7 linked regions of the Ovis aries genome follow. The protein of the gene in region 1 interacts with the protein of each later gene in a pairwise test. Links are inferred from orthologs where the notes say so. Each region holds a gene or a part of one and is shown in the gene's direction. Other genes may lie near its edges. The genes, in order: MKRN3, UBE2K, SFN, ENKD1, FAM110A, PSMA1 and POLR1C.

Region 1 (4,265 bases):
ATACCACTTTTTATATTTCTGATCTTGGTTATTTGAGCCTTCTTCACTTTAGGTTCAAGAATCTTTTCAAAGGATTTTGATTAATTCCCCCGACTTCATATTTGTTTTATTTTAATTTATCATGTTTATGATTTACTTCAATCTAATTTCTGTGCTATATTCATATTTTCTCAAATTTTCAAATAAAAATTGAAACATAAAATTTCCTCTAAGAAACTTATTTTAGCAAACAAAATCTAATACTATGTAAAATGATAATCATACCACAAAAGGTTTTATTCCTGGGGGAAAAAGGGTAAGTTAAACATTGAAAAATCTATCAGTGTAAATAATCACAATAAAATTAAAAAGAGAAAAATAACATGATCATCTCTTTAAAAGTACAGAAACCTACATGATAAAATTCAATATACATCAACACTTTATATTTATAACTACTTTGTTTACTAATCTAATAAGATGCATGTGCAAAATGACAGCTCAGATGAAATTAAAAACCACCACATGGGCAGAAGGGTAGAGGATTTACCATGAAAGGCTGGCCCAGCACAATACCTTACAAAACTGGGTGTAATAAAGAAACAGAAACAAAGAGCCACTGTGAATTAAATCAGAAAGAGGGAGGGAAAAAAGCAAGCCAGGGTCACAACGGGGACAGAGGCTTATTAAGCCAGCATCAGGACCAGCAAGGTCTGAGGTTTCTGCACAAAGGGAGCGAAAGCCTGGAAACCACAATAACCTCACCCGGCTGAAAGACACTAAAGCAGCCTCAGACCAGAGGTCTGCTCATGCCTCACTGGTGAAAAGCCTTTCCAACCGAAGCCTGTAAGAATTACCAGAATACAAAGAGCAGAAGAAATGAGCTCTTGTCAACACAACTAAATGAATAAAGCTTCCAGAAGCAACAGTTAAGGTATTCAGAACGAAAAATAATTAAAACAAAAACAGATCCACATAGACATAAAATGAAGTGAACAACACATTTATAAAATTCATGTGTGATATGGTTCAGAAACAAGATGAATTTTACGCAGTGGAAAATTTTTAAAAAGCATGAGGATTATGTTTTCAATTGACACGTATGAGAAACCAATGAAATCAATGCGTCCGAAGGAACACAGGAAGGGATTGCATTAAAACCTCAAAGGGCTGTGATTTCTTCCGTCAGAGGAGCCGCGGGAGGACGAGGGGCTGCACGCAGCCGAGCAGGGGCGGCGAGCCGGGCAGCTCTGCCGAATGCGAACAAAAGAAGATGTCGGTCACAATTCCAGCCGGACCGGCTGCGCACCGACCCAGTGGAGGACTGACGTTGTCACCACAGGAAGTGTGTGCTGCGCCTGCTCAGAGAAGGAAGTAGGAACGCAGGCACAGGAAGCAGGGACAGGGGGAGAGGAAAAACAGATGCACAGCTCCAAAGGAGGAGTCCCGGAGCTGGCTCGTGGCCTCCGGGCCTCAAGCCCGAAAGGAAGACACACCGGGGAAGTTCCGGTACCATTTTGGGGACTAAAAGCTGCCATGGAAGAGCCTGCAGCTCCCAAAGAACCCCACGAGGCAGCTGGGGCCTCTAGGGGTGCAGAGGCAGCAGGGGAAAGTGCCCCACGGCCCACCCTCCCGGTGCGCCCTGTTTCCCGGTGGTCTTCGGTTCCAGGCCCATCCCCGTTCCGCCCATCACGTCTGAGGCCTGCCCAAGCTTCGTGGGGAGGGGCCGGGCCCAGCTGGCTGCAGAGCCGGAGCACTGGCAGCTGGACAAAGCAAGTCATCTGCAGGTATTATCTGCATGGGCTGTGCAAGGAGGGGGAGAAGTGCCGATACTCCCACGACCTTTCGGGCCGGCAGGTGGCCAGGGAGGGCCCTGGCTCACAGCCCCAGGCCTCTGCAGACAGCGGCCCTAGCACGGCTGCACACATGGAGCCCCTGCCTCAACAAGTGGCGGAAGCCCCCCCTGCTGTTTCCTCACGTTCCTTGCCTGTGATTGGCTCGGCTGCTCAAAGGGGTTTGTTTGAAGCCAAGACAGACAATGCAGGCCTTGAAGCTGCTGGAGGAGCAGGTGTAGAAGGCTGGGAGAATGCCGTTGAATTTGTTCCCGGGCAACCCTACCGGGGCCGCATGTTCCCTTCTGTCTCCGAGGCTCCTCTGCAGAGCTCGGTGATTGAGAGTGGGCAGATTGTTCTGGGCATGGGGAGGCAGCTTTGCCGCGATGCCATCGCCGGGCAGTGCTTTCGTGGGCAGAGCTGTATTTATCTCCATGGAGATATATGTGATATGTGTGGGCTGCCGGTCTTGCACCCTTTGGATGGTACCCAGAGGGAAGACCATGTAAAGGCCTGCATTGAAGCACACGAAAAGAATATGGAGCTCTCTTTTGCCGTGCAGCGCAGTGCGGACAAAGTGTGTGGCATCTGCATGGAGGTTGTCTATGAGAAAGCCAACCGGAATGATTGCCGCTTTGGCATCCTCTCCAGCTGCAACCACACGTACTGTCTTAAGTGTATCCGCAGGTGGAGAAGTGCCAGACAATTTGGGAGCAGAGTTATCAAGTCCTGCCCTCAGTGCAGGGTCATGTCCACCTTTGTCATTCCCAGTGAGTTCTGGGTGGAGGAGGAAGAAGAGAAGCAGAAACTTATTCAGCAGTACTTGGAGGCTTTGAGTCACAAGACCTGCAGGTATTTTGCTCGAGGCAGGGTCTGCCCATTTGGAGAGAACTGTTTTTACAAACATGTGTATCCTGAGGGCCAGGGAGAGGAGCCTCAGCGGCAGGGTGCTGAGGCATCTGGTACTTGCCATTGGGAACCTTTGGAGCCTCTGCAGGTGGGAGAGGGCAACATGCCCTTTAAAAGCAGTAGAAAAGAGCTTGTCATGCTTTGGCTGGCCAATCTGTTGTGTAAGTGTTTTCACCAGGAGCCATGTGCTCCTCTTCACAGAGGTCTGGTGGGACTTGCTTCATTGTGAGCTGGAAGAATATTGCACTTTGAATCTGTGGCATTCTGCTGTGGCATGTTGTTTGGTGTGCTGAGGCTCTGTCATCTGCTCTTGTCTGTGTTTTGTTTATAGACACATCTGTCACTTCCAGGGGCTGCTGAAAGCATTTGTATAGAAACATCCATCTGTTTCCTTGACCATTCCCATTTCTGGTCCCCCAGGATTATGGTGTTTCACTGTGTTAAAAAGTAACAAAACATCCTCAAAGTTATTGTTTGGTGAAATTAATATGACTGTCAGTTTATGGTTTATTTTGTCATCTGTTTTTAACAGGATTGACTCAGTTCTAGTCTAGTGTTTACAGAATTTCCACACTCATTTTGAAGCCCCTCAAGAATAAATGTGACAGGGTGAAGGGAGAAGTCTAAACTGAACCAGGAGCTTTTTGCTGCTTCAGTCTTAAGAAATGGACCCTCGTGGGGCTTTATGGTGCAGCTTCAGTATCTCTGTTGTTTACACATCTGTTCCCTCCCCCATTCCCCTTCAAATGCACTCTTAACTTGTGGTTACCTTGTGGTTTTATGTTTTACTTGACCAGAACCAGATGCATATGTTTACGTGTTTTTATCCTGTTCAACTTGATGTGAAATCATTTATATTTGAAAGTATATATGTAAGAATTATATATATATATATACATGCACATTAACGTGTATGAAAGTTATGCATTTGAAAATATTTATTTAAGGTGTATACTATAATATAATCTTTATTTAATAAAATAAATACTGAGCTGGAAGCTGAAGGTGAAAGGTTGATAGGATTGCTGTTGTGTGAGTGTGAAGTATGTAAATTATTTTTCTGTCCCTCTCACAGGCTTCAGTGATTAGCATCTAATGAAAACAGCTATTTCAGTGGCTCTATCTAAATGTAGCAGACACAGATCTTAAAGAATTTACAGAATATGACACTGGTAATTACTGTGATGCCATTAATAGCTCGCTGCTATGTGGGTTCCCATGCAGTTTAGCCACTGTATCATTATTTAAAACAACACAGTCTTTGACTCAGATACACAGTTCTTTGTGTTCAGTATTTTGTGTCATCCATAGACATATCAGAGAAGGGGCTTTTGACAGAAGTTTTTGGCATAAAAGTGATAAGATTATAAAAAGTAAAATAAAATAATAAACATATTCAAATAAGTAATAATGCAATAATGGAAAGACAATAAATGAAATATAGAAAGTAATGAAAACTGAATAAATATAAGCTGGAAAGTTAATAATGCCAATATACCATAATTATATTAAGTGGAAATATTTTAAAATCTGAAGATTAGCAGA
Region 2 (3,707 bases), on another chromosome or scaffold:
CTTTCCTTCAGTGACATAGTTTGCTGTGGAAAGTGAATCAGTCACATTTAAAAAATCTAATCTATATTTATTTAGAAAAATCAGGTTTTTAGGCAATTAAGAGATGAGTTCCTATTTTGAATACTATAACTGCATTGTCATATCAAACAATTTTTCCTCCATATAGTACAAACAAAATCCTGAAATGTTCAAACAGACAGCTCGACTTTGGGCACATGTGTATGCTGGAGCACCAGTTTCTAGTCCAGAGTACACCAAAAAAATAGAAAACCTATGTGCTATGGGCTTTGATAGGGTAAGTACATACAGGCATGTTGATTTTTATTTATTTGTTAAATTATTGTTGCAAATCCTTGGCTGACAAAAGTGGTTCAGTGGTACTCTGAATCTAATTTTGATAAGCAAACTTTGTTATTAAAACTAGTAATTTTTTTTTTTAAACTTTGGCTGGTTCCAGTCATTGATTTTTTATTTTAAAAAATAATTTTATTTGCTTATTTTTGGCTGTGCTGGGTCTCCACTGTTGCTTGGGCTTTTGCTCTAGTTATGGCGAGCTGGGGCCACTCCCTAGTTGTGGCATGCGGGCTGCTTATTGTGATGGCTTCTCTTGTTGCGGCACATGTCGTTGTGACTCCTGAGTTCTAGAGCACAGGTTCAGTAATGGTGGCACGTGGGCTCAATTGCTTCACTGCATGTGGGATCTTCCCCGACCAGGAATCAAACCTGTGTCTTCTGCATTGGCAGGCGGATTCTTTACTTCTGAGCCACCAAAGAAGCTCTAGCCATTGGTTTTAGAGTTTTTAATGCACTACAAGTGCAGGGTAACTTAAAAATGAAAAAACAAGGTGTGGTTTCTTTAATATAAAGACTGAGTGATACCGTATTTTTAAAATATTTCCTTGAGACTTTATTTTGTCCCCTTTTCTTTTCTACAGAATGCGGTAATAGTGGCCTTGTCTTCAAAATCATGGGATGTAGAGACTGCAACAGAATTGCTTCTGAGTAACTGAAACATAAAGAGAGATGCTGATATAGTCAAGCTTGCCCCTTCTTGGAGGAGCATCAACATCTGTTATTTTTAGGATTCTGCATAGATTTCTTTTAAACTGGCATTCTTGCCTAATGATGTTATCTAGGCACCATTGGAGACTGAAAAAAATCCCTGCTCTGTAAATAAAGCTAATTAAACGTCTGTGTAAATTTAAAAAGGGGAAATACTTTAATTTTTTTCTTACTTAATAGTGTAAAAATTCTTTTGAGCTAAGCTAAAACCATGGAAAAAACATGCTACTTTAGTGTTTAGCAGTATACCAAGACTAGCAAGAGTTTGCTTCAGGATTTCGTTGAATAATTAAGATAATATTTTGAGTGTGTCAGGGCCATTCAAATTGTTGGTGTTGCATCACAGCTACCTTAACTGTTTTTAACATGGATCCTCTGTGCCTGTGAATTTACTTGCATGCTTGTACTTGACTTCTTAGGATGGGTAGCTGAAAAGACCACCATTTTAAGCATTTGAGAATTCTTCAATATGAGATTTATCCAGAAATGAAGATGGTGACCTAGTCAGAGCCTTTTTGTCCTTGTCAACAGACTGGGACAACATATCTGTTTTTCCCCTCTTTCCACACACAGCTAATATTCTAATAATAAATTTCTTTATATTTGGTGGGGAAATGTGCTGAAGGACAGTATCCCTTGCTCCATTTTAGGTCATCCATTTGGAATGTTTTGTCACAATTCTCCACTCTTAAAACTTTCCTATATAAATACTGTAAAAATGGAGCTGCCAATTTTCTTTTTTTTTTTTTTTTTGTAAAAACAGTAAATACTTGATGTTGCAGTATTCCCAGATTAAATGAAAAGAACCCAGCTTAATTTTTCAGTGAGTTTAACGTCTTTTGATTTTTAAACTGATGGACTTTTTCTTTGAGAACTTGCAAGGATGAAATCAACTGTTTGCAGGTTTTTTAGCCTGATTTTGGCTTTATAGAGATTGCTTGCACTTCCCCCTATTAACACATGAAAGCTGTGTTGGTGTTTTACTGTACATACTTCAGATGCACATAGGAATAGAAGTGTGTTATAAATCTAGCTTTCTTTATGATGTTTCTGATAATATGAGAATTGAAAACTTTACCTTCTCTTGTACATAGTCAGACTTTCTATACGTATTAAAGTTAAACTTCACTCCAAGTTTAAAGTTTGAAAATTATTAGTTTTGCAAGCTCTAACACTAATGTGAACATTTTATGAAGGGTGAAATGGATTTGTGTAGGCAGTTCTATACATAGAAACACAGTTCTTATTAAATATTCAGGACCAATGCAAAAATAACAAAAATGTAATGAAATCTGAATGAATTAAAGTAAGGCTGTATATGGAAAGTCATATTATAAAAGGTTTTTGCTTTCTTCAAGTGTTATTTATCCTAAATTATAATGGTTAAGTGTTTGGAAAATAGTTTTGAACAGTAAATTCAGCATAATTTCATTTGACTTCTCAATAATCTTAGAAGCAATAAAAAGAACCATTATTAAATATATTGTAATGTTAAGATGTGAAGGTTCTTCCAGAAACATAAGGTTTTCCTAATTAGTAGTAAAACTCTTGTAGTTGATTTTATTGCATACTAAACACAAGTTGCTGTTTTTTCCCCTTTGTTTGCCTAAGTATAAATTTCTTTATACAATCACCTTCTTTAATTGTAATTTAGTTACTTTCTAAAGATGCCAAAGGAAACAAGATTTTCTTTATTTATTTTAAATAGCTAAAACCATGTACTTTTCTTTATATTTTGAGGTAAGGTTGGAATTGTGTGAAAATGTGGACAGTTTTTGTTCCATTGTTGTTTAGAATTATTTTTTTTTTTTTGTTTAGTGGAGGGTGGCTTGGTAATGTTAGTAATATTTGCATTATTTTAAATATCAAACACCTCTACCCAGTTTACTATTTGCCTGTATTATCAGGGTATATTTAATTGTCCTGTGGTTTGACAAATGAGAGAGAGAACTCAGAAGTTACTAAGGATCAAGCATTGTATACTTTGCTCTTGGCGGCAGCTGTAACTTGCCTATGACTTTTATGCACATTAGTCCCTTAGGGTATACTCATCTAACTGCAATTCAACATCCCCAGTGTCCAGGAAATGGAAAACTACAATATTTGGTATGAGAGGTTCTCCATAATGGATCTTCATTTCAAAAATTTACCTCATTTACATTTAATGTGATTATCTGTTTTCTGGTACATTTCCCACTATCGCCTTCTTACGGGGTTTTTGTTTTTTTTCCTATTTTCTCCTATTTTCTACAGATAGATTTATTTCCCCAAACATAAAAATAAAGGCAGTTGCTTTTTTCTCCTGTCTTATATATGTTTAGAAAAAGAATAGTAAAAGTGCAGGTCTAGGGAAAGTATATCCTGTTGGAAATTATTTTTATAATCCTCAGTGGTTTGTGATTTGTTAGTTGTAAAGGCTTCAAAAATTATAGTTAAATGTATGTGTAGTTTTATCCCATCTGGGCAGACAGTTTGCTGCAAGTCACTGATACTCAAATAGTCTTCTGTGATGATCAGGTCTATTTCCTGAGTGTGTGTCTGACTTTTAAAAGAACAAATAATTAGTTGTATTAGTATTTCAGTACAGACTGAATAAGTAGCAGTTTGTGATCCAGATAAGTATACGGTAAGGTATATAAATATTT
Region 3 (3,527 bases), on another chromosome or scaffold:
CCCCATCTGAGCTTTGGCTAGAGGTAGAGTAGACAAGCAGGAACCCACCCTCCTAGGTGCAATGCCAACACCTTTGGGTGAAAATTTCAACTGACATAGAGACAGGGTCTCAGTGAACAGGGACAAAAGATTGGCAACAGAGAAGTCTCCATCTCTGAAGCTTCTGCCAGGAATCAGAAGTGGGGCCGTGGTCAGAGGGAAGGGCAGGGAAACTTCTGAGAGGCAGGCTCATTCAGCTGGGGGGAAGAGGAAGGCAGCGCTCAGCTGGGACTGCTGCCCCATAAAACGAAACGACATGCATCACAGCCGCCTCCATCGCCTTGGTCCTGTCTTTTCTCCCCAGTTGCTAGCGTTTCCCCCCCTCCTGGTACCCAGCTGGGCAGGGTACCCAGGTGGCGGGCATCCCTGCCTCTGACAGAGGGCGGGGCTGAGTTAGGCAGGAAAGTGGAACAGCCAGTGAGCTGGGTCCCCACCCTCTGTGCGCCCCACTGACACATGATGGCAGACAGGGGGGGCAGGTGACCTGGTGTGGACAGCCAGAGGGCAAGTCCTCAGACAAGTGGCAACAGGCCACCAACTTGAAAGGGAAAATTGTGCTGTGATGGGGAAGGTATCCAAAAAACCTACTGGGTGACTAATTACAAAGGCTAGGCCAGAGCGTCAGAGGCCGCTCGTTAAACACCTCATTAAGTGGCACTCTGAAAGCTGCCACTTTTGCATTCTGGGAGCTCAGAGGGGACAGGATCCTGAGGAGGAGTGAGGGGTGGTGGGTAGAACCATTTCAGGTAGACTCTGGAAGAAGCCTGCATGTCACTTTTAAATAGTCTGGAGCTCACAAGTCAAAAGACTTGATGGGAGCAAAGCCAAATTTAGTAGCTGTGTGACTGTGAGCAACTCTCATCTTTCTCTGAGCCTTAAAGCGGTCCCGCCTCTACAGTGGGAGTAGTGTCACAGACTTGCCCATTTCACACAGACAGAGCAGGTTAGATTAAGTTAGATCATGGGTATGAAGGCGCTTGGGAAGCTAGCTACCGCCCTACCTAAACAAAGAGTTATCCCTCCTGAACCAATATGGGAAACACACCTGGCAGGACTGGGAACCGCATCCTCCTGCACCTGGCTTTATGGGCTCTGCCTAGGCCCATAGCGGCCAGGTAGCTGAAGCCATCCTCAACCCGTGTAAGAACACGGTGAAGGAGGATCTGATTTCAGCAACTGGGACAGCTACCTACGGTAGGCATGTAATAGAAGCCCTGAACCAGAGCGGGCAGCCTGGGGCCTGGAAAGGTGTCGGTGCAGGTGAGGCCAACGCCCAAATCTCTCCCGCTGACAGTCCGGATGACTCACCCCCGGCCCCCGCCTCCCTACCCGCCATCCAAGCCCTTTTACCTTTAAGGAAGAGCGGAAAGGGTGTGGGGGCGAAGAGGAGAGGGAGGCAGGTCCGGGGCCCTAGCCCCGCCCTCTGCCCCTCCCACCCTTCTCTGGGCCTGGCCTTCCAGCCAAAAGGCGGGCAGAGAGCAGGAGAGGCACAGAACCCGGCCTTGGTTCCGAGGCAGCCAGTTAGCCCGCCGCCCGCCTGTCTGCCTGTCCCCAGAGCCATGGAGAGAGCCAGTCTGATCCAGAAGGCCAAGTTAGCCGAGCAGGCCGAACGCTATGAAGACATGGCAGCTTTCATGAAGAGCGCTGTGGAAAAGGGCGAGGAGCTATCCTGCGAAGAGCGCAACCTGCTTTCAGTGGCCTACAAGAACGTGGTGGGTGGCCAGCGGGCGGCGTGGAGGGTCCTGTCCAGTATCGAGCAAAAGAGCAATGAAGAAAGCTCGGAAGAGAAGGGCCCGGAGGTGCAAGAGTACCGAGAGAAGGTGGAGACGGAGCTCCGGGGCGTGTGCGACACAGTGCTGGGCTTGCTGGACACCCACCTCATCAAGGAGGCCGGTGACGCCGAAAGTCGGGTCTTCTACCTGAAAATGAAGGGCGACTACTACCGCTACCTGGCCGAAGTGGCCACTGGCGACGACAAGAAGCGCATCATCGACTCAGCCCGGTCGGCCTACCAGGAGGCCATGGACATCAGCAAGAAGGAGATGCCGCCCACCAACCCCATCCGCCTGGGCCTGGCCCTGAACTTTTCCGTCTTCCACTATGAGATCGCCAACAGCCCCGAGGAGGCCATCTCTCTGGCCAAGACCACCTTCGACGAGGCCATGGCCGACCTGCACACCCTCAGCGAGGACTCCTACAAAGACAGCACCCTCATCATGCAGCTGTTGCGAGACAACCTGACGCTGTGGACGGCCGACAACGCTGGGGAAGAAGGGGGCGAGGCTCCCGAGGAGCCCCAGAGCTGAGCCGCACCCGCTGCACGCCCTGCCCTACCCTGCCCGCTCCAGTCCCCCACTCCCGGCAGAGAGGACTTGTATGGGGTGGGAGGTCCGACCCTTCTCCCCAAACGCTCTGGCCCAGCTCAGAAAGGCTCCATAGAGAGGAACAAGCAGAGCCGAGTCCCCCTGGAGCCAGAGGATTCCATACTTCCTGCAGCTGTCAGGGGCTCCTGGCCACTGGTCATCATCCAGCCCTGCTCTGTCTCCACCCCCGCCCCCCGTCCCAGACACCCCCCCCCCCACCCTGACCACTTCCTCCCCACTCCAACCCCCTCCCGCCCCTGCTACCTATGGATCTTAGGAATTGAGGAGTGTCCCATCCTTAGAGCTGAAAACCGAACTGTGTGGCAGAGGTTGGTGATGAAGGTGTGTGTGTGCGCCTGTGTGTGTGTGTGTGTGTTGTGCAGCAACCAGGACCCAGGATGAGAGGGAGAGCATGTCTGCTGGGTGTGACCATGTTTCCTCTCAATAAAGTTGCCCTGTGACACTCCGCCTGTCTTTTTCAGTTATTGCGGAAGGGCGGGACAGGGATTGGTGTGTGAGTTACAGAGACCCTGACCTCCTTGGGGCTGGCTCAGTGACTCGCAGGCAAGACTCTGGAGCCAGGAGAGAGGCTGGGGATCCAGCCCTCTCCATCAGGGTCTGGTCTAGTCCCCTCAAACTGGTCCTATCCCGGGAGGGTCGGGTGAGCAGCGCCAAGGCGGCTTGGAGACTCCTCTGCCAGGAACGTGGGGTGGGAGGCTGAAGCGCTCAGGTGTGAGGGGACAGTCTCCGGGGTGAGGTCGGAGGGGTACGCCGCAGTGAGCGGCACTGAGCACCTCAGACCTGAAAGCGGGGAACAGTCCCATCAGATCTGAGCGGAGGGAAGTATCACCAGGGGGCGGGTATGACGCCGCCATTAAAAGCTCAGGTCTGAGGAGAAGACCGCCTTCCAATGTTCGGAGATGGGGACAAAATAAAACAGGCCGTTGACGAAGAAGTGCAACTTGAGTGCGAAGAGCCGCCAAGAGCGGGTTCGGCCGCGGCGGGCCAAACCCACCGCCCCCGCATCTCTGCTCCCAGCAGCGACGCTCCTCCGCCTTCGGCCGCCTAGTGAAGCCCTACCTTCACAGCCTGAGGCCAGAGGCGGGCCCGAGGCTGATATCATCC
Region 4 (4,454 bases), on another chromosome or scaffold:
ACAGGGGCCGCAGGCGCTGGGCCTTTCCTACAAGAACCCAGGGCAGGGCAATGACTGGAGTGCCAAGCTGGGCTGTGTTGGGTCCAGCTGGCTGGGACAAAAGGGAAGGCTCAGGAAATGCCACTCACGCTCAGGCCCCAAGGTCACTGAGGGTGCCGACACCGTGCTGGCCACCACTGGGAGCACTGGGGTTCCCAGACTCTTGCGCTTCTTGGTCTTTTTGTGCTGTTTGGCAGATGGTGAGGGCTCATTCTGATTATTCTCCGGCTCTTCCCTCTGCAGCGACAGCCCCTGTGGCAACTCACTCTCTGCCCTAGGATGGGCTTGGTGGCTCGGGCCTGTGAGGCTGGGGAACAAGGAGGCCTGAGGAGCCAGCCTGCAGCCTTGGCTCCTGTGCCCTGTCCTAGGGAACAGTCCTGCCTGCCTACCTCCCCAGGCCGTGATCCTTGTCCTTTTCCTGGTCAGTGAGGCCCTGGACTGGACAGGGACCCAGAGATCATGGGAGTTCAGTCCCCTACCAGGCCTTGAGACTTTTGCTCTGCATGTTCCCTACATCAGGGCTCTGGAGGGTCAGCAGAGGTGAGGAATGATGGTGGTGTCAGGGGATAAGGATGGACACTACTGTAAGGCCCCATTTAAGAATCCAACTGGGGTATGAGCCACCCCCACACCACCTCCCCAGTTCCCAGTCTCTTCCCTCTGAAAGCCCCCTCACTTGACCGGCTTCCTCTTCGGACCATGACTGGGCCTCACAGTGGAGGCCGTAGGCCTGGGACCTCTCTCCTCCAGGGCCTCCACCTCTGGTTTGTGCCTGTCTTCCTCCAGCTTGAGTCTCTCCTGGATCTTTGGCTCTGAGGTGGATCTTATTGGACATTTATCTTCATCCTGGGTTTGGCAGGCCTCATGGGCTGGCACCAGGCCCTGGTCTCCCATCACTGGACACTAGCGGTGACACACAGGTAACTGGTCACCATGGCCAGGTAAAGGATACAGGGACCAGCCATTAGACTCTAAATACTCTGGATGAAGGGCACCAGCCCATGCCCCTCCCAGCCTGTGGAACCTGGCCTGGCAGTTTTGGTCTATTAAAGCGCTATGACCCAAGTGTTTGAAGGTTAGACAGCCCGATGGTCACCTCAGAATTCTGAGCATGGCCACCAGGCATCTCTGTAAGCTGTGACTGCCCCACGGCTGCCCCTTCTTGGGCCCCTGGCCGCTTCTCAGCCCCTGCGGAGTCCATAGCTGCGGCGGATCAGCACTTCCTCGACGGTTGCTTGAGGGGCATTGGGGATGGAGGGCGGATCCTGAGGGGCCAGACTAGTAGACCCTGAGCGGACCCGGGAGAGGACCGGATTGGGAAGGGCAACTGACAGTCGTTCTGCTCCCCCCTCAGCTGGAACTACAGGCCCCAGAAGGCTTTGCGCCAAGGCCATTGGCCCCTGACCTCACGGACGGAAACCATTGTTGCCTGGCAACAGCAAACCCGTCGGGTGGCGGCAGTGGGCGGCAAAACCGCTCTGGTGAGCCCCTTGCCCGAGTGAGAAGCCTGCCAACGGTACTGAGAGGTGGGCTGAGAGCAGAGGTGGCGAGCGCAGGCCGGGGCCGGGAGGCGGGGTGGGGGCCGGGAACGCAGGCAGGGCACGGCTGAGGTTAGGACCCGGGGCCAGGGAGGAGGCACTGGGCTGAGAAGCCGGGTTTGGAGCCAGAGACGCGTAGCCCGGCAGGCCTCAGGTGCAACGTTTGCAGGACGGCGGCGGCGGTATGTGTGAGGGTCCGTCCCGCATCTCGGGGCCCATCCCCCCAGACCCTACGCTCTGTCCGGACTACTACCGGAGGCCGTCTTCGGGTGAGTTAGGGAGTGAAAGCGGCCTGGCAAGGGTCGGGCCCAGCTCCACCACTGACTCCGCACTCTGCCCCGTCTGGCCTCTCAGCCCAAGGGCGCCTTGAGGGAAACGCGCCGAAGTTGGACCTGCTGACGACGGATACGGACCCGGACCTAGACGCCACCCCTCCCCGCGCCCCTCGCATCCGTCCGGGAGGCCTAGAAATCCTGGAGCGTGGCCGTCGCGGCGTGGGTGGTGTGCTGCTGCAGCTCGGGGGTATCTCCCTAGGCCCAGGGGCCTCTCCCAAGAGTAAGTTCTGGTCAGAACGGACAGCGAGGCGGCTCTGAAGTCAAAACAGATAAAAAGACGGCTGCTTCCCCTTCCCTGCTCTGGGCTCAGGCTTTACCTCTCAGAGTGTCTGTTTCCCCAACTGTAGAAGGAGCGGGAAATGCACGACTTCTTCGCAGGAGAGGACTAAATGAGGCATACCCCGGAAAAGCCCGTAGCTCAGCTTCATGGATTTATGCATGGTTGGTTGTTGAGTGTCTGCTGTGCTCCAGGCCCTATGGGTGCTAGGAGAACAAGGTCGAAGAAGCGCATCATTGAATCAAGGTGGGAGACAGTAAAACAAGTGAAGAGGTGAATAGGATATGCAAGGTGATTACTAGTATACTTCATAATCAAATATGTATAAAATCATCAGAAACAGAAGATAATTATGGTGTGAGGACGAGAACAAGGTTATGTGGTGGACTTTAGAGTATGTCAGGGAGGCAGGGTGTGGGCTTGTGTGTCCACTGGGGTAAGTTGGATTGTATGGGCTGTATGTAGGGCAACATCTTTTCTCCAGGGAAGGACCCTAAAGACCATGAGAAGGAGAACATGAGGCGGATCAGGGAAATCCAGAGGCGCTTCCGTGAGCAGGAGCACAGCCAGGAGCAGGCCCAATCCAGGCCCCTGAAGGCCCTGTGGCGCTCACCCAAGTATGACAAAGTGGAGTCGCGTGTCAAGGCTCAGCTGCAGGTACCTGCCTCAGGGAGCCCCAAGTGTTGCCCGTCTTGTTGGCCAACAGGACATTATACTCTGACTTGAGTTATGAGGAGGGAGGAAACCCACAGTGGGCTGAGGTCACAGGGGATGAAGAGCTGGTCCTGCTGCAGAGTGGGGCTGTGGCCTTTCTCTGAAGTGATGACAGCTGGGTGATTCTGAGGGGCAAGTCGGAATTAGGCAAGGGGAGAATAGAGGAGAACATTTTATAGAAATGGAACCTTGTGGTTCCAGGGTCCCTGGTCCTAACACCAGGGACTTAGGAGTGTGGGCAGTGGGGATGCTGTGTTCAGTTCACTATGAGGGAGGAAGAACATGAGGTTAGGCTAAGAAGTCAGCTGGACCCACATCATAAAGGGCCACATAAATCCATTTTTTTAAACCTTTATTTCTAAGGACAATGGGAAGGGCAGGGGTATGTATGGTGGTAAGATTCTATCTGGGGTAGCTAGTGGTGCCACTTCTCTTTCCAGGGGTCTGAGAAGGAGAAGTAGGACAGAAAAAAAGACAAGGTCATATGTGGGTGTGTTGAAGCTGAAGCTTTTGTGGGGCTTCCAGGGAGTGGGAATGTGTCCAAGAGGCAGATGGAGAATCAGGTCTGGATCTCAGAAGTGAGACCCAGGAGCTATTGAGGACGAGGCTGAGGATAGTGAAACCAGGGAAGTGACCCTGGATTTGGGGGCTTGGAGACCAGCTGTTGGTGGCCTTGGTAGGGACAGAGCCAGAAAGCTTGACTAGGAAGGAGAGAAAAAGAGAACGATGACTGAAGCCAGGACTGAGGTAGAGGGAGGGAAATATGTTTTCTGAGAGATGTGAAAAACACACAGGTTTAAATGCTGATGTGATGGAAGTACTTATTCAAGAGGAAGGAGGCCAGGTCCAGAGGACTGGTGATAGAGAAAGATCCTGAAAGACAGGAGGGACAGAGGCATGGTCTTACAGCTTGAGACCCTGACTTCAGCCTGACTGACCACCCCCCGCTCTGCCTTGGCCTCCAGGAGCCCGGCCCTGCCTCTAGAACTGAGCCAGCCCACTTTCTGCGGGCCCATTCCCGTTGCGGCCCCGGGCTCCCACCACCCCGTGTCCCCAGTCCCCAGCTAACCCTACCAGGTCCCAATGCTAAGGTGAGAGGATATGTGGGGGCTGGGAGGTGGGGCAGGGATTCCGGGGCACCACACAGTGCTGTTTCATCATGCTGGCCATGTCCCGCAGGCCCCAGGTCTGGGTGTGGACTTCATTATGCACAATGCCCGCACTGCCAAGAGGGCCCCCCGGCGGCATTCTCGCTCGCTGCAAGTCCTGGCACAGGTGCTGGAGCAGCAACGGCAAGCCCAGGAGCACTACAACGCCACGCAGAAGGGTCACGTGCCCCATTAGTAGGTCCTACTGCTCCCCCCACTCCTGGGAAGGGGCACTTATGGAGGGTGGAAGCCCACGTCTGCCTAGGGTCATCAGCCCTGGGTCTGTGCATCACAGCTTGTTGGAGCGCAGGGACCTGTGGCGGCGGGAGGCTGAGGCCCGTCAGCACAGCCAACCAGACCCAGCCATGCCCCCTGGCCACACTCGCATGCCTGAGAACCAGCG
Region 5 (4,248 bases), on another chromosome or scaffold:
ATTTTCCAGGCAAGAATACTAGAGTATTCTTTCTCCTTCTCCAGGAGACCTTCCTGACCCAGGGATCAAACCTGTGTCTCCTGCATTGGCAGGCAGATTTTTTTACCACTAGGGCCACCTGGGAAGTCCATTACGTAAATATAGTACATGTGATATTACCATTATGTATTTAATGCATATTTGTGTTGTACATAGTGCTTTGAAACATACTTTTGAAAAATTCAATCTTTCTTAGTGCTAAATATATTTTAATCATATCATTTTTAATGACTGTATAATATTCCTCAGCAAAAAGTGAGGATATTTAAAGGTACTTATCAGAGGGTTATGCCATGAGCAGTGATGAGAGTTTTGTCATGCAAAGCTTCTGGTATATATAAAAACCTCAATAAATTCAGTTCTTCCGCAGGATGGATTTATATAACCAATTTCCTTTCACTGAGCACTTAAGTTATTTTCATTATTTTGCCATGATAAAGAACGCAGGGCATATTAATCTTCGCTCACATCCTTAGTAAATTTCGGGACTGCTGGGCATGCCCATCTTCACACTAACTTGCTCAGCATTGAGCAGTTAGAGGAACAGACAGGAAAACTGGCTTGCACTGGTTCACATAGCCTGTCAGCTGAAGTCAGGACTGCTGCTGCTGCTGCTAAGTCGCTTCAGTCGTGTCCGACTCTGTGCGACCCCAGAGACGGCGGCCCATCAGGCTCCCCCGTCCCTGGGATTCTCCAGGCAAGAACGCTGGAGTGGGTTGCCATTTCCTTCTCCAATGCATGAAAGTGAAAAGTGAAAGTGAAGTCGCTCAGTCGTGTCCGACTCTTAGCGACCCCTTGGGCCCACCAGGGTCCTCCGTCCATCAGCTAAGTCCCGGGTGAACAAGAGAAAGAATTAGCCGCTTGAGCTAAAGGGGCTGCTCAAAGAACCTGAGACCACCGGGAAGCTGAAGGGCGGGGAGGGACTGAGAAGGCAGGGCGCTCCCACGCCAGGCCGAAGCTAAGCCGTTGCCTGGCAATGCGGGCGGCGCGGAGTTCGAACGGAAGCGAGAAACCAATCAGGATGTCCGGGGCAAACCATTCTGGTGTCGGGGAGGGGGGTGAAGCGACGCGCTCATTTCCCCTTCCCCCGGTGCCCCGGGGTTTTCGCTTCCCCTCTGTGCCCCCAGACCTTCGCTCTGTCTGGGACCTTGGGACAGTCAGGTTCTCCGGCTTATCTCGGGTGCGGAGCACAGCTCCGAAGAGGCCCCCGCGGGTCCTCACGTGGGGCTTGGGCCTCCCGAGCCGTGTTGGGTGCGGCCATTCCCCGCCTGACTGGGTCCGAGCTGTCAGCCTCCTCAAGACCCACACTGGAGGAGCGGGACTCGCCTAGGCGAGGCTCCTTGTGAGGGCACGGGTGGTCCGGGGCGCGAACCCGGGTGTAAGGGGGCGCTGTATTCACCCCTGCGGTGCGTGTTCTCTCCGAGTCCTACGAGGGTACCCCATTTCACAGATGAGAACGCTGAGGCTCAGAAAGACGAAGTCTGGCAGAGAATCTGATTCAGATCTTTCTGCTCCATCTCGCAGTCTCTAGCATAATAGTTCTAGATTTGCCTTGAGAGACCCTGACAGGTAACTGGTGGTCGCTTTCTTAGCCTCTGATCAACAGGAGCATGAGAGCCCTGGCTGCATCCGCTCCAGGCTGCCTCTCCCCAGCGTCGGCCTGGGGTCTTCTCCCCACCATCTGTCTTCATTTCTCCAGAAAGCCAGGGGTGGACTTGGGGCTCACTTGAGATCCTTCAGCTTGCAGGGCTCTGAATTACAGAGCTCTCCCTCTCAGAGAGAAGATACGGGTGGCTCAGGCAGGACTGACATTTCTGAGCTAGGTGCCAGGTGGGGAGCAGATGCTTTGGCCCTGGAATTGCTGTAGGACTCTTGGGAATCTACTGCGGGTTGGGCAAAAGGGTAGGCACAGCCCTCAGCCAAAGACGCTAGTCACCAGAGACACTGGACTTGGTCCTGGGCCCAGGACCGCTCCTGGTAGAGCATCTGACCTACACCAGGCCTTACCTCCTGGGGAACCCCCTCCCCACCTGCTGGTTGCTATGGGTTTCCTTTCGTAGGTGGGCAAACTGAGGTTCTAAAAAGTTAAGCCCCTTTGCCCAAAACCACATGGTCAGACTTGGCAACTCTGGGGCTGGTTCCCAATCTGTCTGGCTTCCATCTTAGAATCCTAGACACTCAGAATTGTAGCATCTGGGAGTCTAGAATCTCTTCAAGGGGAATTATTTATCCTCTCTCCTCCAAACCAGTCTCCTGGCTTTAAAGGGAGCAGAGCTCTGGAAATTCAGAAAGAAAACAAGTCTTCATTCTTTCAACAAATATTTACTCACTTCATATGCTCTGCCTTGTCTATTTTGTTTTTCTCAGTAGCATTTACCCCATCCAATGTCCTATAATTTCACTTATTAGCGAGTTTATTATCTTCCCGGACTGGAATGTGTTGCAGGGAAGGGTTAGGGTGAGGTAAATGAGGTAATCGCCTCCAGTGTGAAACTGAGGGGTGCCCAAAGCCCTAGGAATCAAAATGACTAATGCTAACATTTATTGATCATTTTTGTGTGTTCTGCTGGTGGGAGATCAACTCCCTGGATCACAGTCCCTCATCTCTGTCACAATTACACATGCACCCCCTGACCTAGCTGTCCCACTTCTGGGCAGAATGATATAGGTGCAGTGAGCCCACAGTGTGGGGTTTTTGGGTTTTTTAAGGCTCTGCCTGAGAACTCTTTTATTTATTTGTTTATTTTTGGCTGGGCTGGGTGTTCGTTGCTGCCTGGGCTTTCTCTAGTTGCAGGCTTATCATTGTGGTGGCTTTTCTTGCTGTGGATCATGGGCTCTAGAACTTGGAGGCTTCTTTTGTTGTGGCCTAGTTGCTCCATGGCACGTGGGATCTTCTACCAGGGGTAGAAGCCATGTCCCCTGCATTGGCAGGCAGATTCTTAACCACTGGCCCACCAGGGAAGTCCCACAGTGTGGTTTTTAATAGAGACTAGACACACGCTCAGTGGCCATTGGTAGGGACTGATGGGCTCTTTATGTAGTACAACATATATTATTTTGTTAATAACATTATAATTAATAACATGCTAATAACATATTAAGAACATATATTATTCAATGAAAGAATAAATGAAAACAATGCACAGAACATGTTGCTATGTGTAAAAAAAATAGAATATATGTCCATTGTTGCTTGTATGTGCCTGAAATCTCCCTGGAAGGACATATAACCATCTGATCATAATGATTCTTGCAGGGAGGGGAACTGGGTGGCTGGGGATAGGAGTGGAGGGAGGTGTTTTTCTTTTTTTAATTTCCTTTACAGCTTATGAATCTTAAGCCATGCACATGTATCACCTGGTTGAAAAAATATGTGTGTATTATAGATTGTTTATCTAATCATGAGACCACTGCCCTGTCTATGATCTGTCATTAACTTTCTTGTGACTTTGGACAAGGTTCTTGACATCTCTGCGCCGAGAAAAGAAGCCATGATGGTGCGCTTCGGCCCAGGCAGAGGGCAGTCCGGGACAGGAAGTGGGCTTGGTTGTGGGTCTGTCCCAACTCCACCTTCCGCATCCTGTGTGCCAGGCCCTTCCCTAAGGCTTTGCGCGCAGTATCTCTCTTAGTCTGCACTGCGAGTCCCTTTGTCCTCATTTGGCAAGCTCAGGTGCAGACCTGAGGCCCAGAGGACTGAGTTGGTGGAGGTGTGCAGTTGGTGGGCCAAACGGGAGATTGCTGCCTTAGGCAGCTGCACCCACACCGCTTCTGTGGCCTGTTTACCTTTCTCTTCCTGAGGTTTGTGCAAGGTTGCCCTGGGCAAGGCTGACTGCAGGCAGGCCAGGGCACGAACATCTGGGAAAACTCCAGAAATAGTGTGGGGCCTGGCGTGGGCCTGGAGGATGCCCAGCTGGGTGTCTCTGGCCCTGGCAGCTGTCCTGGAGTCTTCTGCTGCCTGGAGCCTTCCTGGCTCCCTCTGGGGCAGGAGAGGGCCTCTCTGTCTCCACCGAAGTCTGGGCTGGACTTCTGCTAAGGAAAAGGAGAAGCAGGTGGAAGGGAGGGGTGAGGTGGAAGTGCACAATGTCATAAAAATGATAAACATCAGAAACCACACCTCCTGCCCCCTCAGCAAAGAATAGAAATCACTGACACCTCTTGATCCCTTACTGTGTGCTAAGTAATTTACAAGTGTGAACTCCTTCAATTCTG
Region 6 (4,451 bases), on another chromosome or scaffold:
ACAACAAGCAATATTGGTGAATTTAAGAAAGGGATCACTCATAGACAAGGGTTGAGAATACATTTTGGTAAAACATTTCTCCAGAGCAATTTAGTACTTTTTATAAAAGCCTTAGAAATATCCATTTCATTTGACCCTACAATTCCATTTTCAGGAATTTATTCTAAAAAAAGGAGTGCAGATGTGTATACAAAAGATATGTCATAAATAAGCTGCCTGGGAGAGGGGTAACCTAAATATTAAAGACTAGGAATTTGGGTAAATAAAATATCCAGTGCATAATACTAGGGAGTCATGTTTAACCTAGAAAATGTTTAACATGAAGAAATGTCCAAAATATATGAGACAAGGTTTAAAAAAAGAGTCTGATACTAAATTGCTGGGAACTTGAGCAAATCACTTAAGTGAGCTGAGTCTCTTCTTCACCTGCAAAGCTTAGATACTTAAGGACCCTCTCAACTCTTCCGTTATATGACTCTAGGTATCCATCCTTTCTTTTTTATAAAGAAAATACCATCCTTTGTGGTTCAGTTGGTAAAGAATCCGCCTGCAATGCAGGAGACCTGGTTTCGATCCCTGGGTTGAAACGATCCCCTGGAGAAGGGAAAGGCTACCCACTCCAGTATTCTGGCCTAGAGAATCCCATGGACTGTATAGTTCATGGGGTCGCAAAGAGTAGAACACGACTGAGCGACTTCACTTCACTTCATCGTTGGCAGTCGGTAAATGTTAGGTTGGCAGCTGATTGCACAACTGTCCTAAACTATTTCATTCGAGGATTTACTAAAAATTGCTCACAAAAGAGAAAATATGTGTCTTGGAAGAAAATGTCTACCTTTTTCCTTAGTTGCCTAATCTTTCAGCATCGTGCTTGGTTTTGAAGGTACAGAAAGACACTGGCGCCCTCAGAGAGCAAAGTCTCTTGGGGTAAAACCAATAATAATGTTAAAAAGACTGATGATAACAAATCCTTGAAAGATGAGTTCTCCAAGGAGTAGGAGAAAGGATTCCAAAGTAGAAAGAAAAGCATGTTCACAGACAAGATAGAGAGAGAGGATGGTTGGCACAAAAACGGACCATTATTTGTGGCCTTTCTTTCAGTATCGTTCTTCTCATATTACCCAACACCTCATATATCGTTTAAGGGGAGACTGAGCCACACACTCGATCACCTGTAGTCTCTGGTGCATCCGGTCAGGCCGGTGAGAAACTGACAGGAGTCAGCAACACGGAGGTAACTTCACCAAGAACCCAAGAAGGGGTACTTGGTAGCGGCAGCCCAGCAGCTCCTAGTTCCCGCGGGCACTCCTGGCCAAGGTTTCCAGCCAATCTCAGTTCCTCTAGCTTCCCAGGCCCCTCCCACTTCTGAGCCGCCTGAGAGCTTTGAGGGCGGGGAAGCAAGGGAAGCCTATCGATATCTCTGGAATAAACTATTCTACCCTGCGCCGCCGCCGTCAAAGTCCGCAGTCTTCTCTGTAGATCGCCGAGCGGAAGTTTCGGCAGTGCTGTTCCATCCGCTGGTTTGCAGGAGGCCGAAGCCAGGCTCGCGCCGGAACCATGGTGCGTTGGATTCCGAGATTAGGCAGGGTTGGGGAAGAGGTCCGCTGGCTGGGGGGTAGGGGGAGCTTCTTCTCATGCCTTCCTTAGAGCGGCCCGGGGCCATGGGACTTAGGAACCGTTGCCGACGGGATGGTTCAGGCGGTGATTCAGCATCTCCGGCCTGGCCGGGAGAGTGGAGGTCGGTAGTCTGTGCTGCCGCTGCGACCTTTCCCTGGGGTTTGTTTCGCTTTCCACGGGGTCTTGAACAGTATCTTCTCGGTCTACCAGCCGATTTCGCTCCTCAGATTCCTTCAGTCGAGTAAATTCCGAGCGGTCCAGAGAGGGCCCTAGTGCTCTGTGTGGCAGAAAGGAAAAATAGGGACTTAACTTCAGACCTCCTTGTACTGCCAAGTGCGGACTTGATTCCAGGGTTTGGGTTGCTGCCTGGACCGCGTTCATTTTCTTGGCGGGTCCCTCTGCAGTCTTTTTCTTAGAGCTCTGTCAGAAAAAGCCCTTTTCAATCACTTTGTCTGCTGTTGCTGCTGCTAAGTCGGTTCAGTCGTGTCCGACTCTGTGCGACCCCATAGACGGCAGCCCACCAGGCTCCCCCGTCCCTGGGATTCTCCAGGCAAGAACACTGGAGTGGGTTGCCATTTCCTTCTCCAATGCATGAAAGTGAAAAGTGAAAGTGAAGTCGCTCAGTCGTATCGACTCTTAGCGACCCCATGGACCGCAGCCTGCCAGGCTCCTCCGTCCATGGGATTTTCCAGGCAAGAGTACTGGAGTGGGGTGCCATTGCCTTCTCCGACAAATGAGTGAACCGAAGCTGATATTAGTGATGAAATCAGGGTTATAGTATAGAGCTCAGGGATTCCAGGCCAGTGCCTGCCATTCCAGCGCTCAACCTTCTCACCCCCATGATTAGTCTCCCAAGCACTGTGCTGGTGGACTTAATACCGTCTTTAAAGCTGTAATGGGTCTGTTTTTATGGCAGTTTGTGTCCACTTATGACTTCCTGGGGACATTCTTGTGTTCTCATTCAGTATGAATGAATGAAAGGCACGTTCAATATGAATGTTTTAAGGGCAGTGAAGGTTCAAGGATAAATCAGACATATCCCAAATCGTAGTATGAGGCAGAAAAGTAAGTGTAGATAAAGAACTGGTGGGAATATGTTTTGAGATTTGGGGAGAAAAGATGGAGAAGATTTCAAGAGATAGACATTTGAGCTGACTTAAGAAAAGGTAGTAATGTTTTTGACCATTTATTAGGGTCTGAAAAAAGGGAAGAATATTAGCAAAGATAGAAAGGAAAGTGGACATATAGGAACTTTAGTAATTGACTAAACCCAAACCAAGTACTATGAACAGTGTTAGAACTGCTAGACTGATTGGGAAGCTATGTACCATTTAGATCCGCCCCCCCCCATCTCCTTATAAATGTAAAATTGACTTGCAGCTGATTACAGTAGTAATCTTCCAATGAGACTGCAATAGCAGCTTTTCCTTAATGCTGGATGGAGAGAGATGGGAGAACATTTTTTAATGATAGAGCTTGTGAAGATTTTGAATTTGTAATGTTCTTGTGTTAATAGGTCTTTTTTCATTTACTTTCAGTTTCGCAACCAGTATGACAATGATGTCACTGTTTGGAGCCCTCAGGTAAACTTTTGGTTACTGCAATGTGTTTAGAAGCTTATGGGATTGTAGGAAGTGAGAAAATGGAATATAATCATTTTATACGTTCCTGAAACCTAAGTTTATCATTAAAGTCAGTCTTCTAGTTTTAAGAAACAGCATTTGAGATGTAACTATGCCCACTTGAGATTTGGGATTGCTAAATTATGTTAAATATATAAAAGGGTCTTGTAATGACTAAGGTGTGTTGGGTTTTTTTTTTTTTTTCATTTTAGGGCAGAATTCATCAAATTGAATATGCAATGGAAGCTGTCAAACAAGGTTCAGCCACAGTTGGTCTGAAATCAAAAACTCATGCAGTGTTGGTTGCATTGAAGGTAAGTAAAGCAATAAATATATCTTCCTCCTTTAGAAAACACTGTAAAATGTTAGTTTCACTATATAAATAATAAAATTATAAACTTACTCTTTTGTCTTAAATGATGTTTCTATTTAGAGAGCACAGTCAGAACTTGCGGCTCATCAGAAAAAAATTCTCCATGTTGATAACCATATTGGTATCTCAATTGCGGGACTTACTGCTGATGCTCGACTGTTATGGTGAGTATGACCTGGAAAACAAAAGAAATATCCCTTTTGATTCATAATTGATTACATATCTAGAAACAATCCGGATATTTTAGGAAGTTGTCTGCTAGAGTGTTTATAAGTTAAGATTATTAATACCTTAATGTATTTGGGCTCAGTTACTAAGTATTCCATTTCTTGATCACTGTAGCAGTAATTAATAGGATTAACCACATTAACATTAATGCTTTTTAGAAGTCATTGAATAATGTATTACTTGTTAACTCAGTATATATAGTTTGATGTTAGATCTGGGAAGAGCTTGACACCAGGTTTCTGAAGGATCAGCTGAACCACCTTTGCTGTCTTTAATATACCAGTATTCATTTGACATTTATTTTTTGCAAAGCTCAATACTGGATACAAAGAGTATACAAAGGTGAATCAGACAGATCTCATCTTCTAGGAGCTTAAAATCTAGTAGAATATCTGCAATACAAGGTAGAAAGTGGAGAGCAACAGGTATATTTCTTTGGAGGGGGTGGGGGATAAAGATTATTTCCAGTTGAGAGGCATATTGCAGATGAAGAGCTGGGGCTTTGGGATCACACAGTCTTTAATTCCCACTTTTAACACTCAATCTGATGTTGCTCTAGTTACTCAAACTCTGAATTTTTTTAGTATTTTTTTTCCAAGGTTATTGACAAA
Region 7 (3,707 bases), on another chromosome or scaffold:
TAGAACCTTTATTGCGCATGCTTGGCCAAGCTCTGTTGGGTTACTAGTCAGGGTTTCCGATATAGGTGTCACAAAGTTTAATCAAGGTTTAATTCCTATTCCTGATGCCACTTCTCCATGCTTCATCTCATTCAGTGCAAAACAAGGAGAGGTGGCTTTGCCTTTTGCCTAATGTCTGTGTATGATGAGGCCAACATAAACAAATGACTCCAGTGTAATGTGGCAAAGGCAGCTGAAAGTAAAAAAAGATGATGGCGGTAGGGTGGAGGTCGGGATTTTTTTGGGGGGTATCCCACACAGACACTTAATCCAGAATGGGAATGGGGAGCAGAGGTATGGAAGATTTCCTGAAGGAGGTGACATCTAAGTTCGGCCTTGAACAAGGAGCAGAGGCTGAGGAGTGTGTAAGCAGCTCAGTGGTAGGCAAGATTGAAGTGCATTTTAGGCACCAGAGGTGATAGGGAGCTCTGGAAGAGTTCTTAAGCAAGTAGGATCATATCTGCAAGCTTAGAGGTAGAGGATTTGAGGCTTGTCCTGTGGGGTGTGCACAGTTTGTGACAGTTGCATAGGGAAGTTGAGGCTGAAGGCAGAAATGAAGAGTGTGATGATGAAATAGAGCACAGGGGAGACGAAAGGTAAATTTGGCGGTTGCTTGGATATGGGCTGTAGGGGGGAGTGTAAAATTACTGCTCTGATGGGTGGTGGTCATTTAGCGATAAGAAATCAGTCTGGGGAAGGGGACTGTTGGGGCATTCAGTTTCCTGTGAGTGAAGTCCAGCAAACTGATTTTATATATATATATGAGTTGTTCATACAGATTATCGCTGAAATCATGAGCAGGGTTGAGGTCACCCTGCTGCTACTGCTAAGTCACTTCAGTCATGTCTGACTCTGTGTGACCAAATAGACGGTAGCCCACCAGGCTCCTCCGTCCCTGGGATTCTCAAGGCAAGAACACTGGAGTGGGTTGCCGTTTCCTTCTCCAGTGCATGGAAGTGAAGTCGCTCAGTCGAGATGGACTCTTCGAGACCCCGTGGACTGCAGCCCACCAGGCTCCGTCCATGGGATTTTCTAGGCAAGAGTACTGGAGTGCGGTGCCATTGCCTTCTCTGTGAGGTCACGCTGGAGAGAGACAAAAACTTGGGAAACAGTAACATTTATATAGTAGGTAGAAGACTGTGGATTTAGAAGGATTGATCAGACCAGGAGGAGGAGATTGATGCTCTGAAATCAAGGCAGCCGAGTTTGGAAACAGGCTTCTCTCAACAGTCCCAGGTGTAGCAGAGGTGTATAGTAAGATAAAAGTTGAGCAGTGTCAACTGGGTGAGCAGTATGTGAGCCTGTTCTTAGTAACATAGCCTCTGTGAATGTGGCTGGAAGCCATATTGCAGAAGGTTTTTTTACTTTTTGAGGAATTTGTAAGAAAATTTCATTTCTGGTTGTGCTTGGTCTTTAATGGGCCGGGCTTTCTCTAGGTGCAGTGAGTGGCTTCTTACTGCGGGGCCTGCTTCCTGTGGGGCATGGGCTCCTGTGGTGCTGGCTCAGTAGTTGTGGTTCATGGGCTTAGTTGCTCCATGGTGCGTGGGATATTCCTGGACCAGGAGTCGAACCCGTGTCCCTCCTGCATTAACCACTGGACCACCAGGAAAGTCCCTGCAGAGGGTTTTAAATGAATGGAAGATAAAAATGAAGGCTTTTCCAAAATCAAATGAAGGATTGGGGGAGAAAGTAAGGTCTAATGAGGGACATCTGGGCAAAGGGAGGTTTTTGAGGGGAATGTCAGGTGGGGAGGTATTGCATATACAGAAACAGGCTTCATTTAGTGTCTCTCCTATCCCTTTAGAATTTCCGTGTGGATGTGGTACACATGGATGAAAACTCATTGGAGTTTGACATGGTGGGAATCGACGCAGCCATTGCCAATGCGTTTCGGCGCATTCTGTTAGCTGAGGTATCGGTGGGCACGGTGGCAAAGGTGGGGTTGTGGGGGGGACCTCACTTGGGGAATTGTCTCAAGTGGTGTTCTTGCAGTGTTGCCGAGCATTCCTCCTGCTCATTCTTTGTAAACTTTTCATTAAGTCTCCTAGAGTGAGGTCTCGGTCTCCCTGTATCTGGACACGGGGGAGTTGCTGGGGGCACTGCAGGGTCTCTCTCCTTGGGCAGGTGCCGACCATGGCTGTGGAGAAGGTCCTGGTGTACAACAACACGTCCATCGTCCAGGATGAGATCCTCGCCCACCGCCTGGGCCTCATCCCCATTCATGCCGACCCCCGTCTTTTTGAATATCGGAACCAAGGTGAGGGTTTGAGAAAATGACATTTTGGGAAAAGGGGGGCCGTCCTCCTCTGAAAGGGGTTCTGGAATCAGACTGCCTGTGTTCGAATCCTCTATTATTTACCTTGGGACCCTGGGCCCATGACCCATCTTGGGGTGCATCTGTGCTCTTCTCTGTGAGAACACTTACCCTCGCCCTTCCTGTGTTTGCCAAGAGAATGAGAGAAATGTGCCAGGCGGGCGGCGTGGTGCCTGGTGCTGATGTCTCCGTCAGTGCTGTGAGCGCCCCACCTTCCCCCTTTGTGCAGGAGACGAAGGCGGCACAGAGATCGACACCCTGCAGTTCCGGCTGCAGGTCAGGTGCACGCGGAACCCCCACGCTGCTAAAGACTCCTCTGACCCCAATGAGCTCTATGTTAACCACAGAGGTGCGCGCCGGGGGCTGTGGGGGGAGGGGAGCTCATTCCCTGGTGGGCGCATTTCAGGGACTTGGGTGTGATGTGCTCCCCCCGCAGTGTACACCAGGCACATGACGTGGGTACCCCTGGGGAACCAGGCCGACCTCTTCCCAGAGGGCGCCATCCGCCCAGTGCACGACGACATCCTCATTGCGCAGCTGCGGCCTGGCCAGGAGATTGACCTGCTCATGCACTGCGTCAAGGGCATCGGTGAGACCTTTTGACTACACTGTCAGTGAGACATGACAGGAACTCAGCTGAGATACTCCCAACAGGCAGAAAGCCACTGGCCCTTCATTCAGTAGCTTAGGGAATGTGAAGAAGGGTCTCCTCCCAGGCTCTGAGTGCCCTCTTTCCTCCAGGCAAAGATCATGCCAAGTTTTCACCTGTGGCAACAGCCAGTTACAGGCTCCTGCCAGATATCACCCTGCTGGAGCCTGTGGAAGGGGAGGCGGCAGAAGAGCTGAGCCGTTGCTTCTCACCTGGTGTTATTGAGGTGCAGGAAATCCAAGGTATGGGATTTGGGATGGTGTGTAAGCCCGGCCCTAAAGCATATTTCCTTTGAAGATAGCAGAGAAAAATTCAAGTTGTGGGCTCATGTATTTATAATATGGTTTGTTTTCATTAGGTAAAAAGGTGGCCAGAGTTGCCAATCCCCGGCTAGATACCTTTAGCAGGGAAGTCTTCCGGAATGAGAAGCTAAAGAAGGTTGTACGGCTTGCGCGTGTTCGAGACCATTATATTTGTGAGTTTCAAGTTGAGGGTGGGACGGTGGTGGTTTTTTGATGCCACAGTTTGCTGGAGGTCAGACGTGGAATCTAGCAGTATGTGTTAAGGCGCGTTTCTCTCTGGTCCCCAGTTTCTGTTGAGTCCACAGGGGTGTTGCCACCAGATGTGCTGGTGAGTGAAGCCATCAAGGTGCTAATGGGGAAGTGTCAGCGGTTCCTGGACGAACTGGATGCGGTTCAGATGGAC

The links.
Region 2: the proteins of MKRN3 (region 1) and UBE2K interact in binary tests that used the Homo sapiens proteins (3 or more experiments, as listed by UniProt). The link is inferred for Ovis aries from reciprocal best matches to the Homo sapiens genes MKRN3 and UBE2K.
Region 3: the proteins of MKRN3 (region 1) and SFN interact in binary tests that used the Homo sapiens proteins (3 or more experiments, as listed by UniProt). The two-hybrid records come from large-scale screens. The link is inferred for Ovis aries from reciprocal best matches to the Homo sapiens genes MKRN3 and SFN.
Region 4: the proteins of MKRN3 (region 1) and ENKD1 interact in binary tests that used the Homo sapiens proteins (3 or more experiments, as listed by UniProt). The two-hybrid records come from large-scale screens. The link is inferred for Ovis aries from reciprocal best matches to the Homo sapiens genes MKRN3 and ENKD1.
Region 5: the proteins of MKRN3 (region 1) and FAM110A interact in binary tests that used the Homo sapiens proteins (3 or more experiments, as listed by UniProt). The two-hybrid records come from large-scale screens. The link is inferred for Ovis aries from reciprocal best matches to the Homo sapiens genes MKRN3 and FAM110A.
Region 6: the proteins of MKRN3 (region 1) and PSMA1 interact in binary tests that used the Homo sapiens proteins (3 or more experiments, as listed by UniProt). The two-hybrid records come from large-scale screens. The link is inferred for Ovis aries from reciprocal best matches to the Homo sapiens genes MKRN3 and PSMA1.
Region 7: the proteins of MKRN3 (region 1) and POLR1C interact in binary tests that used the Homo sapiens proteins (3 or more experiments, as listed by UniProt). The two-hybrid records come from large-scale screens. The link is inferred for Ovis aries from reciprocal best matches to the Homo sapiens genes MKRN3 and POLR1C.

Annotation. Positions count from the first base shown.
Region 1 is NC_056071.1:523,618-527,882, forward strand, and holds the start of MKRN3 (probable E3 ubiquitin-protein ligase makorin-3), read left to right. Parts: upstream 1-1,399; 5' UTR 1,400-1,401; coding exon 1,402-2,949; 3' UTR 2,950-4,265. UniProt on the Homo sapiens protein: E3 ubiquitin ligase catalyzing the covalent attachment of ubiquitin moieties onto substrate proteins.
Region 2 is NC_056059.1:59,576,153-59,579,859, forward strand, and holds part of UBE2K (ubiquitin-conjugating enzyme E2 K), read left to right. Parts: intron 1-166; coding exon 167-295; intron 296-935; coding exon 936-1,010; 3' UTR 1,011-3,707. UniProt on the Homo sapiens protein: Accepts ubiquitin from the E1 complex and catalyzes its covalent attachment to other proteins. In vitro, in the presence or in the absence of BRCA1-BARD1 E3 ubiquitin-protein ligase complex, catalyzes the synthesis of 'Lys-48'-linked polyubiquitin chains.
Region 3 is NC_056055.1:240,067,163-240,070,689, reverse strand, and holds SFN (14-3-3 protein sigma), read left to right. Parts: upstream 1-1,540; 5' UTR 1,541-1,598; coding exon 1,599-2,345; 3' UTR 2,346-2,865; downstream 2,866-3,527. UniProt on the Homo sapiens protein: Adapter protein implicated in the regulation of a large spectrum of both general and specialized signaling pathways. Binds to a large number of partners, usually by recognition of a phosphoserine or phosphothreonine motif.
Region 4 is NC_056067.1:34,775,339-34,779,792, reverse strand, and holds the start of ENKD1 (enkurin domain-containing protein 1), read left to right. Parts: upstream 1-1,460; 5' UTR 1,461-1,520; exon of another isoform or gene 1,521-1,565; intron 1,566-1,746; 5' UTR 1,747-1,761; coding exon 1,762-1,846; intron 1,847-1,931; coding exon 1,932-2,132; intron 2,133-2,673; coding exon 2,674-2,846; intron 2,847-3,868; coding exon 3,869-3,994; intron 3,995-4,082; coding exon 4,083-4,246; intron 4,247-4,346; coding exon 4,347-4,454. Other genes in the region: C14H16orf86 (uncharacterized protein C16orf86 homolog), read right to left, coding at 1-27, 129-376, 716-942, 1,136-1,240. UniProt on the Homo sapiens protein: Microtubule-binding protein which regulates microtubule organization and stability. Promotes the stability of astral microtubules and facilitates the proper orientation of the mitotic spindle.
Region 5 is NC_056066.1:59,933,404-59,937,651, reverse strand, and holds the start of FAM110A (protein FAM110A), read left to right. Parts: upstream 1-1,327; 5' UTR 1,328-4,248.
Region 6 is NC_056068.1:37,962,031-37,966,481, forward strand, and holds the start of PSMA1 (proteasome subunit alpha type-1), read left to right. Parts: upstream 1-1,498; 5' UTR 1,499-1,557; coding exon 1,558-1,560; intron 1,561-3,155; coding exon 3,156-3,200; intron 3,201-3,451; coding exon 3,452-3,553; intron 3,554-3,672; coding exon 3,673-3,776; intron 3,777-4,451. UniProt on the Homo sapiens protein: Component of the 20S core proteasome complex involved in the proteolytic degradation of most intracellular proteins. This complex plays numerous essential roles within the cell by associating with different regulatory particles.
Region 7 is NC_056073.1:17,062,283-17,065,989, forward strand, and holds part of POLR1C (DNA-directed RNA polymerases I and III subunit RPAC1), read left to right. Parts: intron 1-1,843; coding exon 1,844-1,951; intron 1,952-2,163; coding exon 2,164-2,296; intron 2,297-2,582; coding exon 2,583-2,702; intron 2,703-2,789; coding exon 2,790-2,942; intron 2,943-3,094; coding exon 3,095-3,244; intron 3,245-3,313; exon of another isoform or gene 3,314-3,360; coding exon 3,361-3,477; exon of another isoform or gene 3,478-3,591; coding exon 3,592-3,707. UniProt on the Homo sapiens protein: DNA-dependent RNA polymerase catalyzes the transcription of DNA into RNA using the four ribonucleoside triphosphates as substrates.